Callithrix jacchus: one gene and its partners. The protein of the gene in region 4 interacts with the protein of the main gene of each other region in a pairwise test. Links are inferred from orthologs where the notes say so. Each region holds a gene or a part of one and is shown on either strand. Other genes may lie near its edges.

The links.
Region 1: the proteins of SRC (region 4) and ESR2 interact in a two-hybrid assay, tested with the Homo sapiens proteins (2 studies listed by BioGRID). The link is inferred for Callithrix jacchus from reciprocal best matches to the Homo sapiens genes SRC and ESR2.
Region 2: the proteins of SRC (region 4) and VDR interact in a two-hybrid assay, tested with the Homo sapiens proteins (2 studies listed by BioGRID). The link is inferred for Callithrix jacchus from reciprocal best matches to the Homo sapiens genes SRC and VDR.
Region 3: the proteins of SRC (region 4) and RARA interact in a two-hybrid assay, tested with the Homo sapiens proteins (2 studies listed by BioGRID). The link is inferred for Callithrix jacchus from reciprocal best matches to the Homo sapiens genes SRC and RARA.

The regions. Positions count from the first base shown.
Region 1 is NC_133509.1:98,892,812-98,896,375, reverse strand, and holds part of ESR2 (estrogen receptor beta), read left to right. Parts: intron 1-1,190; coding exon 1,191-1,371; intron 1,372-3,321; coding exon 3,322-3,508; 3' UTR 3,509-3,564.
Region 2 is NC_133510.1:2,199,090-2,203,108, reverse strand, and holds the start of VDR (vitamin D3 receptor), read left to right. Parts: upstream 1-1,203; 5' UTR 1,204-1,676; intron 1,677-2,134; exon of another isoform or gene 2,135-2,467; intron 2,468-3,354; exon of another isoform or gene 3,355-3,429; intron 3,430-4,019.
Region 3 is NC_133506.1:92,929,826-92,933,389, reverse strand, and holds part of RARA (retinoic acid receptor alpha), read left to right. Parts: intron 1-498; 5' UTR 499-847; coding exon 848-1,025; intron 1,026-3,564. UniProt on the Homo sapiens protein: Receptor for retinoic acid. Retinoic acid receptors bind as heterodimers to their target response elements in response to their ligands, all-trans or 9-cis retinoic acid, and regulate gene expression in various biological processes.
Region 4 is NC_133506.1:32,839,172-32,842,735, forward strand, and holds part of SRC (proto-oncogene tyrosine-protein kinase Src), read left to right. Parts: intron 1-849; coding exon 850-926; intron 927-1,711; coding exon 1,712-1,865; intron 1,866-2,019; coding exon 2,020-2,151; intron 2,152-2,439; coding exon 2,440-2,648; 3' UTR 2,649-3,564. UniProt on the Homo sapiens protein: Non-receptor protein tyrosine kinase which is activated following engagement of many different classes of cellular receptors including immune response receptors, integrins and other adhesion receptors, receptor protein tyrosine kinases, G protein-coupled receptors as well as cytokine receptors.

The DNA of each region.
Region 1 (3,564 bases), on a different chromosome or scaffold from region 4:
ACAAAGTGGGGGGCAGGGGTTGGAGAAGCAGATTCAGGGATATTGAAAAGATGAATATTTTAAATCTGCATCATCAGTCATTATGGAGATCCCTAGGGATGTGGCAAAGCACTACACTTACGTAATTGTGCTTCAGTATGTCCCTTGCCTTAACTGAGTTGAACTTAGTTAAATTGAGCTGCCTTAATTGAACTGAAAGTGCCAATAAAAATAGAACAAAAACTGCCAAAACAAATTCTGTGGATGCTGGAGCACCAGCCATATTCAGTCTCATGACAGCCAAGACTCAGCAGCTCCCTTGTCGATTTCACATATTTGTTATTTATTCTTGATTTGAAATTAAAAGCCTGGAAGAGAAGCTAATTATTAAAGGGAATCAAGGAGTCAGGCAGCGGTGGGGGTGGGGTGGGGAGGAGGAGATTTAGGTGAGCTGTTATTTTGCTGCAATTGGGACGCCACAGTATCTCAATCCTAGAGTTGGAGGGCAGTTAAATGCAGGGCAGGGCAGGATAGGGGAGGCAGACTACCCGGGCGTGGTTGTGGGGACCTAAGGAGATGTGTTCCTGCACGTGATGCTGTATGAGGAACTGAGGCTCAGAGAAATCCAGATGGTGGATAAAAGGTAGGTCCATCTGACTCCAAATTGGTGGTCTTCCTGCTCCAGCCAGGTGCCACACAGTGAGATGTAGAGGTGGCAGCAGGGGCCCTGCTGTGGCTGTCCAAGGCACGTGGTACACACAGGAGGTAGCAGAGGAGGCTTCACACACTGGCCATTCCTTTATTAAACTCTCTTTAGATGGGGAGCCCTCCCTGGGGCTAAGAGTAGAACTGCTCTCACCTTCTGACCATCTCTGTGTATCTGTTACTGCAGATGAGAAACACCATATAATGGTTTCAGGGGACTAGATATACTTGCATGGCAAGGCCATAATTATGGGCCCGGTGAGTACTTCAAGGGGACATTTAGTCTGTCTGCATTAAGCCAGGCTTCTCTTCTAGCTCTGTGATGCAGCTGGCTCTGAGAGACGAGCCCTTGGGGAGGTAAGACCATGCTTATAATAAGATCCTGCCACACATGCAGATGTCAGAGCAACCCAGATCACCTTGGAGTAGGCACGCTGTACAGCTGAGCACATGACTTCCACTCCTCTGCTCAGAGCAATGACTTGTGGCTTTTATTCTTTGTCCAGGTATGTACCCTCTGGTCACAGCAACCCAGGATGCTGAGAGCAGCCAGAAGCTGGCCCACTTGCTGAATGCCGTGACTGACGCTTTGGTCTGGGTGATCGCTAAGAGTGGCTTCTCCTCCCAGCAGCAGTCGGTGCGCCTGGCTAACCTCCTGATGCTCCTGTCCCACATCAGGCATGCGAGGTATGCGCCTTCGGGAGCTGCTCGGCTCAGGCGTGGGGTGGGATTATGTGCTCAGAGGAGGGTGAAGGGATTTGGGAAGTGTTTGAAAGCTAAGGAAAATGAATGCCTGAAAGGGAATGGGGGATTTGTCAGCTTACACACCTGTAACCAAAGATGGGCAGAGTGGGCATTGAAGGAATGTCACGTGGTATCTTTCAGGATCTTCACAGCATCCAGTGGTGGCTCATCTGTTTTTCAGTTGCTGGGTTTATAGCCTGTTTATGGAGTCCTAAAAGGGGCAGTTCCTCCCCTTACATGAACTGCCACCCCTCTTTATACCACCCAGGGCTGAGGCCCTGAAGTCATTTTTTTGTGGAGAGGCTCAGACCTCTACTAGATGGCCCTTTAAGCTGGTGATATGGAGAAGTGCACAAAGGCTTCCCTAAGAGTTGTTCTTTTGATGGCATCAGGAAATTAAGGACAAGACCTAAGAGAAGTGGTATGCCCAACAGATGTAGGAAGGCAGAGCTGAGGGTATGGCATGTTTCTGATCAGGAAATGTAATGGTGTGTGGTGGTGGCTACTGCCAGGACAGTGATGCTCAGTGCTTGGTGTCACCCAGAATGGAGGGTAGACTTACCCTGGAGCTCGAGGAGGGAAGTCGAGAAGGGAAGGTAATTAAGTGCTCACTGAGGAGCAAGTATAAAGACTGTGGGGAAGGACGATATATACCCCAAGAATCTTCTTTTTTTTTTGAGATGGAGTTTTACTCTTGTTGCCCAGACTGGAATGCAATGGCGCCATCTTGGCTCACTGCAACCTCCGCCTCCTGAGTTTGAGGGATTCTCCTGCCTCAGCCTCCCAAGTAGCTGGGATTACAGGCATGTGCCACCATACCCAGCTAATTTTGTATTTTTAGCAGAGATGGGGTTTCACCAGGTTGGTCAGGCTGGTCTCGAACTCCCGATCTCAGGTGATTTACCCGCCTTAGCCTCCCAAAGTGCTGGGATTACAGGCTTGAGCCACCACACTTGGCCTTCACCTCAATAATCTTAAAAAGCAAGAGGAGAGGAAGAAGACTTCTGCCTGTTTCCCCTTTAATGGTTACTCAGCACACAACCATTTTGTTTGTAGATACACTTGATCCTGTGTTTGTAGATTCCTTAATTGTGAATTTATCTGCTTCCTAAAATTTACTTGTAACCCCCAAATCAGTATTCATGGTGTGTTTTTGAGGTCATTAACAGTGGCAAAAATTTTGAGTCACCCTCTATGCACAGTCCCAGCTGAGATGGAACAAGCAGCTGCTCTCCTACTGTAAACAAGTGTCCTTTATTTGGTCTACTTAGCGTCATGGTTTTACATTTTTGTGCTTTTGGTGGGCAACTTCACTGTTTAAATGGGGCCCCTGGTGTGGTGCTGAAGAGCTGTCTAGTGTTCCTCAGTGTGAAAAAGCTGTGATGTGCCTTATGGAGCAAGTATGTGTTAGATACGCTTTGTTCGAGCCTGAGTTACAGTGCTGTTGGCCATGAGCCTAATGTTAATGAGTCAACGATATTAGATGAGGCATCTTTAAAAAGAAACACACATGCAACAAGGTTTTGTGATTAGCCAATGAAGATGTGACCAGAGGCTTGCAGGAACCTAACCCCGTGTTTCCCCTAGGAGTGATAATTCAGTGTTCACAGTGACGTTGTGGAACATAATTGCTGCAAATAATGAGAATCGACTGTCCTATGTGCCAGGCCATTGCGGGTGTGTGGTGGGGCACAGAGGCTGATAGGACACTCCTTGCCCTTGAGCATAAATTATCAGGGGGAGCTGGATGCATGTGCCATGGAGCAATGGGCTGGCAGAAGTGTGGGATTAGGGGTGGGGTAGACTGGCTGTGCGCAAAGAGAACTGGGGAAGGGTTTGGTGTCCTGTGGCTATCTCAGAGGAGGGAATCTCAGCACCTTTTTGTCCCCATAGTAACAAGGGCATGGAACATCTGCTCAGCATGAAGTGCAAAAATGTGGTCCCAGTGTATGACCTGCTGCTGGAGATGATGAATGCCCACGTGGTTCGCGGGTGCAAGTCCTCCATCACGGGGTCCGAGTGCAGCCCGGCAGAGGACAGTAAAAGCACAGAGGGCTCCCAGAACCCACAGTCTCCGTGACGCCTGGCCCTGAGGTGAACAGGCCCACAGAGGTCACAGGCTGAAGCGTGAACTCG
Region 2 (4,019 bases), on a different chromosome or scaffold from region 4:
AGTTGTGAGGGGCTGGTTATGATGCCCTCCAGCATAGCTGTTTCAGAAACGGTTCAGAGACCATTGCACCAGCAGACTTGCTGGGCTCTAGCACTAGTCCTCACTGATAAGCTGTCATGTCGGGCAAATCACTTAACCTTTCTATGCCTCAGTTTCCCAGCCTTTCACGTTGACCCTCTAAGCCATGGTTTCCTCCTCTGTAAGAGGGGAATAGCGATATCTTCTCTGGCTAATCATCAGCTGCTGGATGATTTTGTGGGCATTTCTATTCCAGAAGATTATGTTGTGATTACTACTTATTTGTACATTCTCCCACTGCACAGTGAGTTCTGAGAAGGAGGGAACCCCATCTTTTTCACCTCTCCCCTGGCACCTAGGGCGGTGCCTAGCACACCGTCAAGGGGAGCAGTGAGTAACTTTTAGCCCAACTTTTCTGTGTGTATTTTCCGCAGCCACACACAGGATGGATTCTTTATCTCTTCCCTTCAGGCCGATGCCACGGCGGGGAAGGGGGAACTGGGGACTGGGGACCAGGGAAGCTGAGACTCAGCTCCCTTGGGTGAAATTCGCGACAGGCCGGGAACGTGGTCAGCCGCGGTCGCTGCTGAGGTGACCTCGGTGGGGGCGATGACGCGACTCCAGTTTCCACTTGGGCCCCCGGGATCTTTTACCCCCGTCTGCGGGATCAGGCTGAGCTTCCCGGCTTTCTGCAGCAGGAACGCGATTTCCCACCCGTGCCCGTCGGCAGGCGCCCCCCAGCGTCCCGCGGGCCCAGGTGGGGGTGACGCACCCGGCCCGGGGTCCGCAGCAGGCTGGAAGGGTGGGGGGCTGCGTCCCCGAATAACGCAGGCTGAGGCGGGGATCTGCTCCTCTGTATTCATCGGCAACTCTGTCCCGCACAGGGCAGGAGCGAACCTTGCCCCATGGGCGACGGTCGATGAAAGTTTCACGAGGCAGAGTCTCTAAGGCGACAGCGGGGCGGATGATTCCAAGTCAAGATGGTTGCGGGGCAGACCGAACTCCAGGCAGGAGAGGACGGGACCTGTGGGCGGGGCCGAGGGCGGGGCGGGGCCTGCTTGAGGGGCGGGGAAGGGGCGGGGCCTGCTCGAGGGGCGGGGAAAGGGGCGGGGCCCGCTCGAGGGGCGGGGCCAGGTGCTGGGCTGTCTCTGCTTGTCAAAAGGCGGCTGCCGAGCCGTGGGCGCCGGGAGCGCGGAACAGCTTGTCCACCCGCCGGCGGGACCAGGTGCGGACCCGGGAGAAGTACGGAAGGGGGTCTCAGGATAGGGGCTCGAGGTCGGGGCGTCGGGGGTACCGGGGCGTGAGTGCACGGGTGCGAGCATTAGAGTCCAAGTCTCCGCGGTAAACTTGGCGACCGAGATCCCGGCTGCTGTGCCATGAGGCTGGGACACTAAGGGGGCACTGAGGTTTGAGAAAGCCGAAGTTCGTGCCAGGCTGGGGAGGAGGGTGGCGACATCCTCAGTGCTCAGGCAGCTTAAAGGAGAAATGCTCCGCCAGCGCCGGGCTCAGCACTTGGGCAACAAGAAGCATTTGTTTCCTTCCTCTGCCGGGGCGCCTTGGCATGGAGTGAGGAACAAGAAAAGGAGCGATTGGCTGTCGATGGCGCTCAGGGCTGCGGAGCGGAGGGCGTGTAGCCTCATTTATCTCACAGGGCTCAGGTACGGTCACCTGCGATGGTGGAGTTGGGTCTTTTAAGTAATTTTTTTCTTGATTTTTCTTTGAACTACCAATGATTTTAGACTTAAATCGCCCTGTTTTTCCAAGACAGCCTGTCAATAGATGTTCAGAGGATCTCAGGGGCAAGCATTTAAATGAGGAAGGGGCTCAGGGAGTGGTTTCTGTTTGGGAAGCGAGGTGCCCTGTTTCTGTAGGTGGCGGTGAGGAAGATTCAGAAGTATCTAGGCGGGAACAGCCTGTGGTCTCCAGGGCCAGTGGACAACTGTCCCTCCTTCTCTTCACCCAGGGACCAGAGTCAGAGACCCAGCCTGGGCTGGCGGAGACTTGGGTCTCCCAGCCCAGGCCCTTCTCTCAGCTCCTCCTCCTCCTGTTCCTCCTCCTCCTCCTCCTCCTCCTCCTCTATGCGTGCGGTGAGTGAGTCAGCCTCCTGTCTGGGTTCAGTTGCAGCCAAAGGGGCCAGAGCCCAGGCAAGCAATTGAGCAGGCATTTTCTGAGCATTGCAGAAGCTCTCCTGGGCAGAGTTCGGCTCTGCTCCAGCTCCCTGCTGGAAGGTGGTCTTCCTCATGGCAAGGGCTCAGACGCCAACACGGCAGTGATTGTGGAATGGCAATGGGATGATTCCAGCAGGAGGTCACTGTGAAGGGACAGTGGCTTTGTGATAAATCCACATCTCACCTCTCTCCTGGGATCTCAGCACTGCAGGCTTTTCCAGCCTTTCATTCCATTTCTGCCTAGTGGTCTTGTCAGCGGCCCATCTCTGCTAGTGAAGTGGGTGAGCAGAAGAAACTGGGAAAGTCTGGGACCAGGGAAGTCATGGTGTCGGCAAACGAGGTTTTAACCCAGGTTGGGGAGTGGGCTGGTTTGCTGAGGTAGAGATGGGTCGTCTGAACACTGGAGCCTCAATTCTGTGAACTGAGAGTGTTGTGTGTTGAGAGGACTTCTGCCATCCTTTCACTGTCCAAGTGCTGGAGGCAACTGTGGGTCTTTCTGAAACAGCTTCAGGGCTGGCATGCAGCCCCACCAGGAGGTGGTAAGACTGTGCATTTCTCCCTGGCTTTTGTTTTGGGTGCTAGAGACCCTGAGCAGAAGTCGCCCTCCCTGCAGAGTCCACGGCCCCCACTCACTAACATCTCTGGACCTATTTGAGAAGAGTCCTGGGAGGCCAACCAGGCTGTGAGGCTGATTCAAACTGCAAAAAGCTGGGGAATTCACAGTCTGTGCTCTGGCTGGATCCCATGGCTTTGGGTTTGGCTGCTCCTGATCAGCTGTGACTTGGACCCTTACCAAGCTAAAGAAGGAACTTGAAAATGGGGTAAGAAAGGAGGAGGAAAAATGATAGTTAGAAAGCTTCCCCAACCCTTTGCTCCTCTTCAGCAGAGGCCAAAGACTTCGTTTGTATAAACATTATGGAAGGTCAGGTACTGTTTGGGGTGCCCTGATAATTTATGTTTATGGTTTCTCAGTCTTCCCCTATTTGACCTCGGACCTGATCTCTTTTGTAACTAAGTCCCAGAGGAGGCTCCAAGAAGACCTTTGGGACCCCTACACTCTACCCCTAGAACAGGTGTCCAAAGCCCAGGCTGTCAATGGAGAAAGGCCTGGGGTCAAGTGGGCTACATCAGGTGGTTATCTAAGACAGGAAAGGGAGTTTCCACTGTTTCACTCTGTCCTGGGTGGGGTGGGCCTCTGGAACGTCTGCTGGAAACTCGCCGTTGCCTGTGCAGCAGTCAGGTCCTAGAGGCCAGAGAGCCAGAGACAGGAGGAGCACCTGGATGACGTTTGGTGTGTTGCTGAATAAGGAATTACAGGGCTCCAGCATCCATGTGTCCCTGCTGCAGCTCTGTTTTGGATGCAGGCAGAGGGAAGTAAAGAATTGACGGGATTTGATTCGGAGTCTCTTGTGCACCCAGCATGACTCCAGGCCCTCTGAGGGATGGCAGGAAGCAGAACTCACCAGACCAGCCCCTGACTCCAAGACGATTTGAGCCCCAGGGTGGGCAGCAATTCTCAGGCTCTCCCTCCACTATTGTCCAGTTCTGAGAGGATCCAGCTTGGCTGAAGCCAGCCTGGCTGTCACTCTAGGCCACCATGCCCCGCTTCTTGTTCTGCTTCTCTCTGATTTGTCCCTAACCTTTTCCTGTGTCAGTGCCCTCCTGGATATGCGAGAAAGAGTCCCTGTGTAATGTATCTTGCAAACTGGGATACTTTCGAGAGTGAAAAGGGATGCGGTGCATGGTTATACCAGGACAATGGACACAAAGCCAAACTGCCCAGGGAAAAATGGAACATTCATCATCCTAGTGATGACCACTCCAAACCCAGCA
Region 3 (3,564 bases), about 60 Mb from region 4:
GGTGCTGGGGCTTAGATTTGGCAGGGGGGAAGTGGTGTAAGAGGGGCCCCCTGGCTTAAGAGTCATTTTTCTGAGAAGTACCAATGCTTTAGGGAAGCAGCTTTTCCTCCCCCTCCCTCTTCCCCACAAGCACACGTTCTCTGCATCTTGACCTCAGGTAACCCTCACTGGGGGAAGGAGGGCCAGGTGCCTGCTTCTACTATAGTGATCCCTTGAGGTGGCACTGTGGACTCTTTCCCCTCAGGATTGGTGGGGAGAGGGCCTTCAAGTCTCTGAGTTCTGTCCGTGTCTCCCCAGCCTGCCTGTGCTATCCTGCCACCCCTAGCAGTGTCTGGGCCCTGCTTCCAGGTCATCTCTGCCAGCCAGGCATGGTGCCAGCTGTCTGCTCAGCTGGGTGCCACGGGAAAATATCCAGCAGCTCAGGTCGGGGAGCTCCACGGGGAATGCCCATGTGCCTGTTCCTCAGTGCCCACTCACCTGTCTTTCTTCTTTCTGCAGCATCACAGGACATGGCCCCCTCAGCCGCCTAGCTGGGGCCCATCTAGGAGTGGGATCTTTTTTGGTGCCCTGAAGGCCAGCTCTGGACCTTCCCAGGAAAGTGCCAGCTCACAGAACTGCTTGACCAAAGGACCGGCTCTTGAGACATCCCCCAACCCACCTGGCCCCCAGCTAGGGTGGGGCTCCAGGAGACTGAGATTAGAGGACAGCAGCTCCAGGACAGGGCGGGTGGGTTGACCACCCAAACCCCGTCTGGGCCCAGGCCCCATGCCCCGAGGAGGGGCGGTCTGAAGCCCACCAGAGCCCCCTGCCAGACTGTCTGCCTCCCTTCTGACTGTGGCCGCCTGGCATGGCCAGCAACAGCAGCTCCTGCCCGACACCTGGGGCCGGGCACCTCAATGGGTACCCGGTGCCTCCCTACGCCTTCTTCTTCCCTCCTATGCTGGGTGGACTCTCCCCACCAGGCGCTCTGACCACTCTCCAGCACCAGCTTCCAGTTAGTGGATATAGCACACCATCCCCAGCCAGTAAGTCTGGGTGTCGGGGGAAAGGGGGTGGGAGGGGACCGTGGAGGGCGGTGGGCCTCAGAGCTTGGGCTCTGGACATGTCTGTTCTGCTGTGAGTGGAAGGCACGGTGCTCTGCATCTTCTCCAGTTGGGGTGACCGTCCTTTGAGATCTTGAAAATGAAAGCCCTATGGCCTTTAGGCCAATCATGGTGGCTGTGTTTGAAGTTGGGGGTGGCAGAGGGGGAGATGAAGCCATGCTATTCTGGCCTGCAGTGGCGCTCACACCCCTCTTCTGTGCTATGCTGTTGGGGCCTTATAAAATAGCTCCAAGGACTGGACACAGAGGCTGGAGGTGGGTAAACAAACCTCTTGATGTTTGATGGAAATGGCAGCTCTACCTAGAGTGAGAGCAGCACACCACCTACGCCCCACCCTGACTCGGTGCCTCTGAGGGAAAGGGCTTCAAGGAGCAGACGGAGGAAGGCTGGCTGGAACCCCACCTCTACCCCTGCCAGCTCCACCCCCTGGCTATGCTAGGATGTGCTTCCTTTTGTGGGGAGGATGAGAGGGAGGGGCCCATGGTCTGGCCGGGTGAATAGGGTGAGTGTCCCAGGAGGGGACACTTGGCCTGGACTCTGGCCCCGGATGCATGCGTGGTCTTGGCAGGGCATGTGTTTTCTTTGTCTCCACCCTCTGCCATGGGGGGGTCACTCGTTGGCAGGGCAGGGGTCTCAGTACCCTTCGCTGGCTGGCCGAGCCAGGTAGTGGGAGGTGGCAGCAGCTATGGCCAGCTGGCAGAGTCCAGGGCTGGGGCCTGCCAGGCCGCTTACAGTAACTCTGGCCCCCAGGGCCCAGCTGGGCGCCAGGCCAGAGCTGGGGGGAGGAGGGAGCAGGGGCCTGGCCTGGGACAGGAGGGGGTGGAAGCAGCAGAATGGGTCATGGGCTGCTGGCTGGCCAGCCAGTCAGCTGTTGACCTGAGAAATGTGTCCCACCTCTTCTGGCCGGCAGGGACTGCACACCCTGCCCTGGGCACCCACCACCCTCTCAGGCTGTGGGCAAGCTGCCTGGCACCACTGCCCTGTGTGCCTGGCTGGGCTGGGTCAGTGCCCCCCTCTCAGTATGGGGGCAGCGCTCTCTCCCCGGAGCCAGGGAGTCTCTTTGTCCCTGGGGCAGGCCCTGGCTGGGCGCCTCACTGCCCGCACTGGCTGGCTGCCCACCGCCACCACTGCTTCCTGGATTGCCTCCTCTGGCTTAGCTGTGGCCCCCTCCCTCCCAGACTCCACCAGCCACCAGGAGCAGGGGCTCTATGTCTGTGTTCTTTACGTTCCCCACCCTTTCTGCTCTGGGGCCAGTGGGCAGGCAGGTGCTGTCTCAGTTTCTCTTGCCACCCCTTATCAAACCTTTGTCTTCTGTTTCTGCTGTCTCTTCTCTTCACCTCACGTAGGAGTGTGGGATGGATAGAAACTGGGGACTCTGATTTTTGTTTGGTCCTCCAGTCTGTGTTAGTGATGGATAGAGGCCAGCCTCTGGGGTTTAGGGTTGCTGGGGAATGAGTTGGTGTATCTTTGTAGAATATTCACTGCATTTAAAGGGACTGTGATTTATATTCTGGGATTGGGCCACTGGAACTAGAAGAATGTCTAGCTTCCTGACAGGGTAGGATTTTATTTTTACTTTTTAAGGCAGGGTCTTGCTCTGTCATCCAGGCTGGAGTGTAGTGGCACCATCTTGGCTTACTGTAGTCTCTGCCTCCCAGGTTCCAGAGATTCTCATGCCTCTGGCTCCCAAATAGCTGTGATTATAGGTGGGTGCCATGTACCCAGCTAAATTTTTGGTATTTTTAGTAGAGATGGGGTTTTATCATGTTGGCCAGGCCAGTCTTGGACTCGTGCCCTCAAGTCATCTGCCTGCCTCAGCCTCCCAAAGTGTTGGGATTACAGGTGTGAGCCACCACGCCTGGCTTTCTTTTTTTTACATAGGGTTTCACTCTGTCTCCCAGGTGGGAGTGCATTAACATGATCACAGCTCACTGCAGGCTTGATCTCTTGGGCTTAAGGTATCCTTGGGCTTAAGGCATCCTTGGGAGTAGCTGGGACTACAGGTGTGCATCACCGCACCAGGCTAATTTTTTGATTTTTCAGAGACAAGGTCTTACCATGTTGCCCAGGCTGGTCTCAAACTCCTGAGCTCAAGCAGTCCTCCTGCCTTCGCCTCAAAGTGCTGGAGATATAGGCATGTGCCACTGCATCCAGCTCAGGGTAAGATTTTTGAGAGAGGAGAAGTTGGGGACCTGCGACCTGGTGCTTGTGGACAACTTGTCCTAACCCAGGTAATGGCAACAGAGTTCCCAGACACTCTCTCCACCTGCAGCCTGGGCTCACTGAAGGGTTGGAGGTGGGGGCAGGGGCCTGGCCCGTCCTTGCCCATCCTGGCCAGAGGGAGCAAATGCTTTGCCCTCCCCTGAATGTTGCAAGCTTCTTCCTCTTTCTTAGAGATGGGTGGGGAGGGCTTCCCATCCTGGTAACCTTCTCCCCAAATATGGGTGGGGTGCCCACATTT
Region 4 (3,564 bases):
GTAAAATATACCCCTTTTAAGTATTCAGTTCAATGGGTTGTAACAAGTGGGTTTACTGTGTGCTCTCACCATAATGGGGATAGCAACAGCCCCATCACCCAGAAAGTTCCTTGGGCCCTTTGCAGACAGCACCCTCCAACCCCAAACCCAAGCACCCACTGATATACTTTGTCATTATCAATCTGTTTTGTTTATTCAAGAATTTCATACATGAAATATTTTACATCTGGGATGCATCCTTTTTTTTTTAACTTTTTAAATTTTAAATGTTTTAAATTTTTTTGATACAAGGACTCACTCTGTTGCCCAGGCTGGAGTGCAGTGGCGTGATCACAGCTCAGTGCAGCCTTGACCTCCCAGGCTCAATTGATCCTCCCATCTCAGCCTCTCAAGTGGCCGGGACTATAGGTGTACCCTACCACGCCCAGCTAATTTTTTTTTTTGTTTATATCTTTTGTACTGTGTAGCTCAGGCTGGTCTCAAACTCCTGGGCTTAAATGATCTTCCCGCCTTGGTCTCCCAAAGTGCTGGGATTGCAGGCAGGAGCCACCGTGCCCAGCCTGAGATGCGTCCCTGTGGCATCTCCCAGCAGTTAGTTCCCGTTGTCGCTGAGCAGGACGCCATTGTCCGCATTAACACAGTTTACCTGTTCACCTGGAGGTGCGCATCTGGTCGTTTCCCAACCTGCTTGCCTTTTGAGTGACAAGCACTTTATTGAGAGATGAGTTTACATAAAATCTGTTGTGCTGGTTATAGCAAGGCTAGCCACCTGGGAGGACAGGTTTGGGAATCACTGCATCCTGGCAGAGGGACAGGGCAGGAACTGGAGCTGGGTCTTTCTCTGCCCAGGGAGTTTGCTGGACTTTCTCAAGGGGGAAACGGGCAAGTACCTGCGGCTGCCTCAGCTGGTGGACATGGCTGCTCAGGTTAGTCAGCCCCTCCCTTCTCCCCACACCCTTGGTCCTCAAGCACCCAGACCCATCTGGTGCAGCCAGTTCTGGCCTCTTGAGTGCCCCCTCCAGGAAGCCTGCCTTGATTACCCCCACACTCACTGATCTTGCCACACGTATTTACCAGGTCCACTTACAGGCACCCTAAGCGGTGGTTCTGGGCAGCAGAAAGCCCTTACCTGGGCATCAGGGGTCACTGACTAATATCAGGGGTCACCTTTATAGAGATGACAACTGAGGCCCGAGGTCCCCTGTACATCAGTACAACTGATGTACTCAGTTGTCATCTCAATAGTCATTTAGTCACTCAGCAGACATGTGTTTGTGCTGACTTTAGGCAGTGCTTGACAAGCATTTTTCATCAGGAGTGACGAGGATTGGCTATTATTCCCATTGGATGGATGAGAAAACAGGCTCAGAGAGGAGACTTGGGCAGCAGGCAGGGCATGGCACTTGTCCACTTGTCTGTGTCTGGGTCCGCTGGGGCCTCTTTCCATGGTCACCTCACTTTCCTGGCTGCATCTGATCTCGGGCCTCCCCATTGCCCTTTGCTCTCTCCCCTCTGCCCCTGTGCTCCCTCCTCCTGCGGAGCACTGCTCCTGCTTTTGATGCCAACAGCATTTACCGTGAACTGACCTCACTTGCCTGAAGAAGCATGGGATGGTGGGGGAGGGGTGGATGGCTCTCCAGCCCTGGGTGCCCTGTGGTCCTGGGAGGGCATGGGTGGCACCTGAGCTGGGCTCCCATGGTTTTGCCTGCAGATCGCCTCTGGCATGGCATATGTTGAGCGGATGAACTACGTCCATCGGGACCTTCGTGCAGCCAACATCCTGGTGGGAGAGAACTTGGTGTGCAAAGTGGCCGACTTCGGGCTGGCTCGGCTCATCGAAGACAATGAGTACACAGCCCGGCAAGGTGGGCAGGGGCTTCGTGGCACGGGGCGTGCAGCCTGGGGCAGGTCACGTCCTCTCCCAAGCCTCAGTTTCCTTATCTGTCATTCCTCATGGTGCTCACCTGGTGGAGCAGTCACGACAGGTCAGAGCTGCCCTGACCTTTTTCGTTCCTGCAGGTGCCAAATTCCCCATCAAGTGGACGGCTCCGGAAGCTGCCCTCTATGGCCGGTTCACCATCAAGTCGGATGTGTGGTCCTTCGGGATCCTGCTGACGGAGCTCACCACAAAGGGGCGGGTGCCCTACCCTGGTAAGAAGGTCCTCCCGGCCCGTCTCTAGTCCCTGAGCCCTTGCCCTGGTGGCCTTGGGTAAGACCTGACTCCTGCTGGGCCTGTTTCCCCATCCATACAACAAAGAAGTTGAGCACCTGATCTTAGGCTCTCCTGATGGTCCATGCTCTCAGCTTCGGGGACGGGACCTACCCATGGTTGCACCCAACCTGGCCTAGGCAGGAAGCCCTCACCATCCTCCCCATCAGCTTCCCGCACCCCACTTTCCTTACTGGAGCCAGGCTTCCCATGCCTCACTCTGCCCACAGGGATGGTGAACCGAGAGGTGCTGGACCAGGTGGAGCGGGGCTACCGGATGCCCTGCCCGCCCGAGTGTCCTGAGTCCCTGCACGACCTCATGTGCCAGTGCTGGCGGAAAGAGCCTGAGGAGCGGCCCACTTTCGAGTACCTGCAGGCCTTTCTGGAGGACTACTTCACGTCCACTGAGCCCCAGTACCAGCCTGGAGAGAACCTCTAGGCACGGGCGGGCCCAGACTGGCTTCTCGGCTTGGATCCTGGGCTGGGTGGCCCCTGTCTTGGGGCTCGCCCTGCTCTGCCTGCCTGCTGTTGGTCCTCTCTCTGTGGGGCTGAATTGCCAGGCTCGAGGCCCCTCCCTCTTTGGCGGCATGGAAGGGGCTTCCGGACCTAGGGTGGCCTGAGAGGGCGGCAGGCGTGTGAGACCAGCACAGTGACTGTCCAGCGCCCACTCTAGCCACACGCCCCTCCTTGCACTCCCTCCTGGAGCTCTGTGGGTCTCTGGAGGAGGAACCGGGAGAAGGGCTGGGGCCGGGCCTGAGGATGGCCTTTTCCAGCCTCAGCCTACTCCACTCACTGAACTCCTTGCCCACTTCCGTGCCACCCCCAATCTGTCTCGAGAGCTGGCCAAAGAGCCTTTCCAAAGAGGAGCGATGGGCCCCTGGCCCCGCCTGCTCACCATCCTGCCCCTTGCCATCCATTCTGGAAACACCTGTAGGCAGAGGCAGCCGAGATGGATCCTCTGCCGCTGCTCCCAGGCTGGGCAGTAGGATGAGTACCCCTCAAACCCTGCCTCCTTAGACCTGAGGCACCTTTGGAGATCATCACTTCCTTGCCCCCATTTCACTGATGGGGAGACAGTCGAGAGAGGGGATGTGACGTGTCCAAGGCCACAGAGCAGTTCAGAGTGGAGGCGGCTTGGAACCGGTGCTCCCTCTGTCTTCCTCAGGAACCAACAGTTCGTGGGAGGCATCACGAAAAGACTGGGACAACCCAGGGGACAAGGGATCTGAGGATGCGTTCGAGATGGCAGAATCGCACTGCCGCTGCCTGCTCGGCCGGGCTGTTGGGGAACAGCATGGAGGCAGATGTGGGTCTGAGCTGGGAGTCAGGGTGAAAGGTGCAGGTGTGGAGAGAGA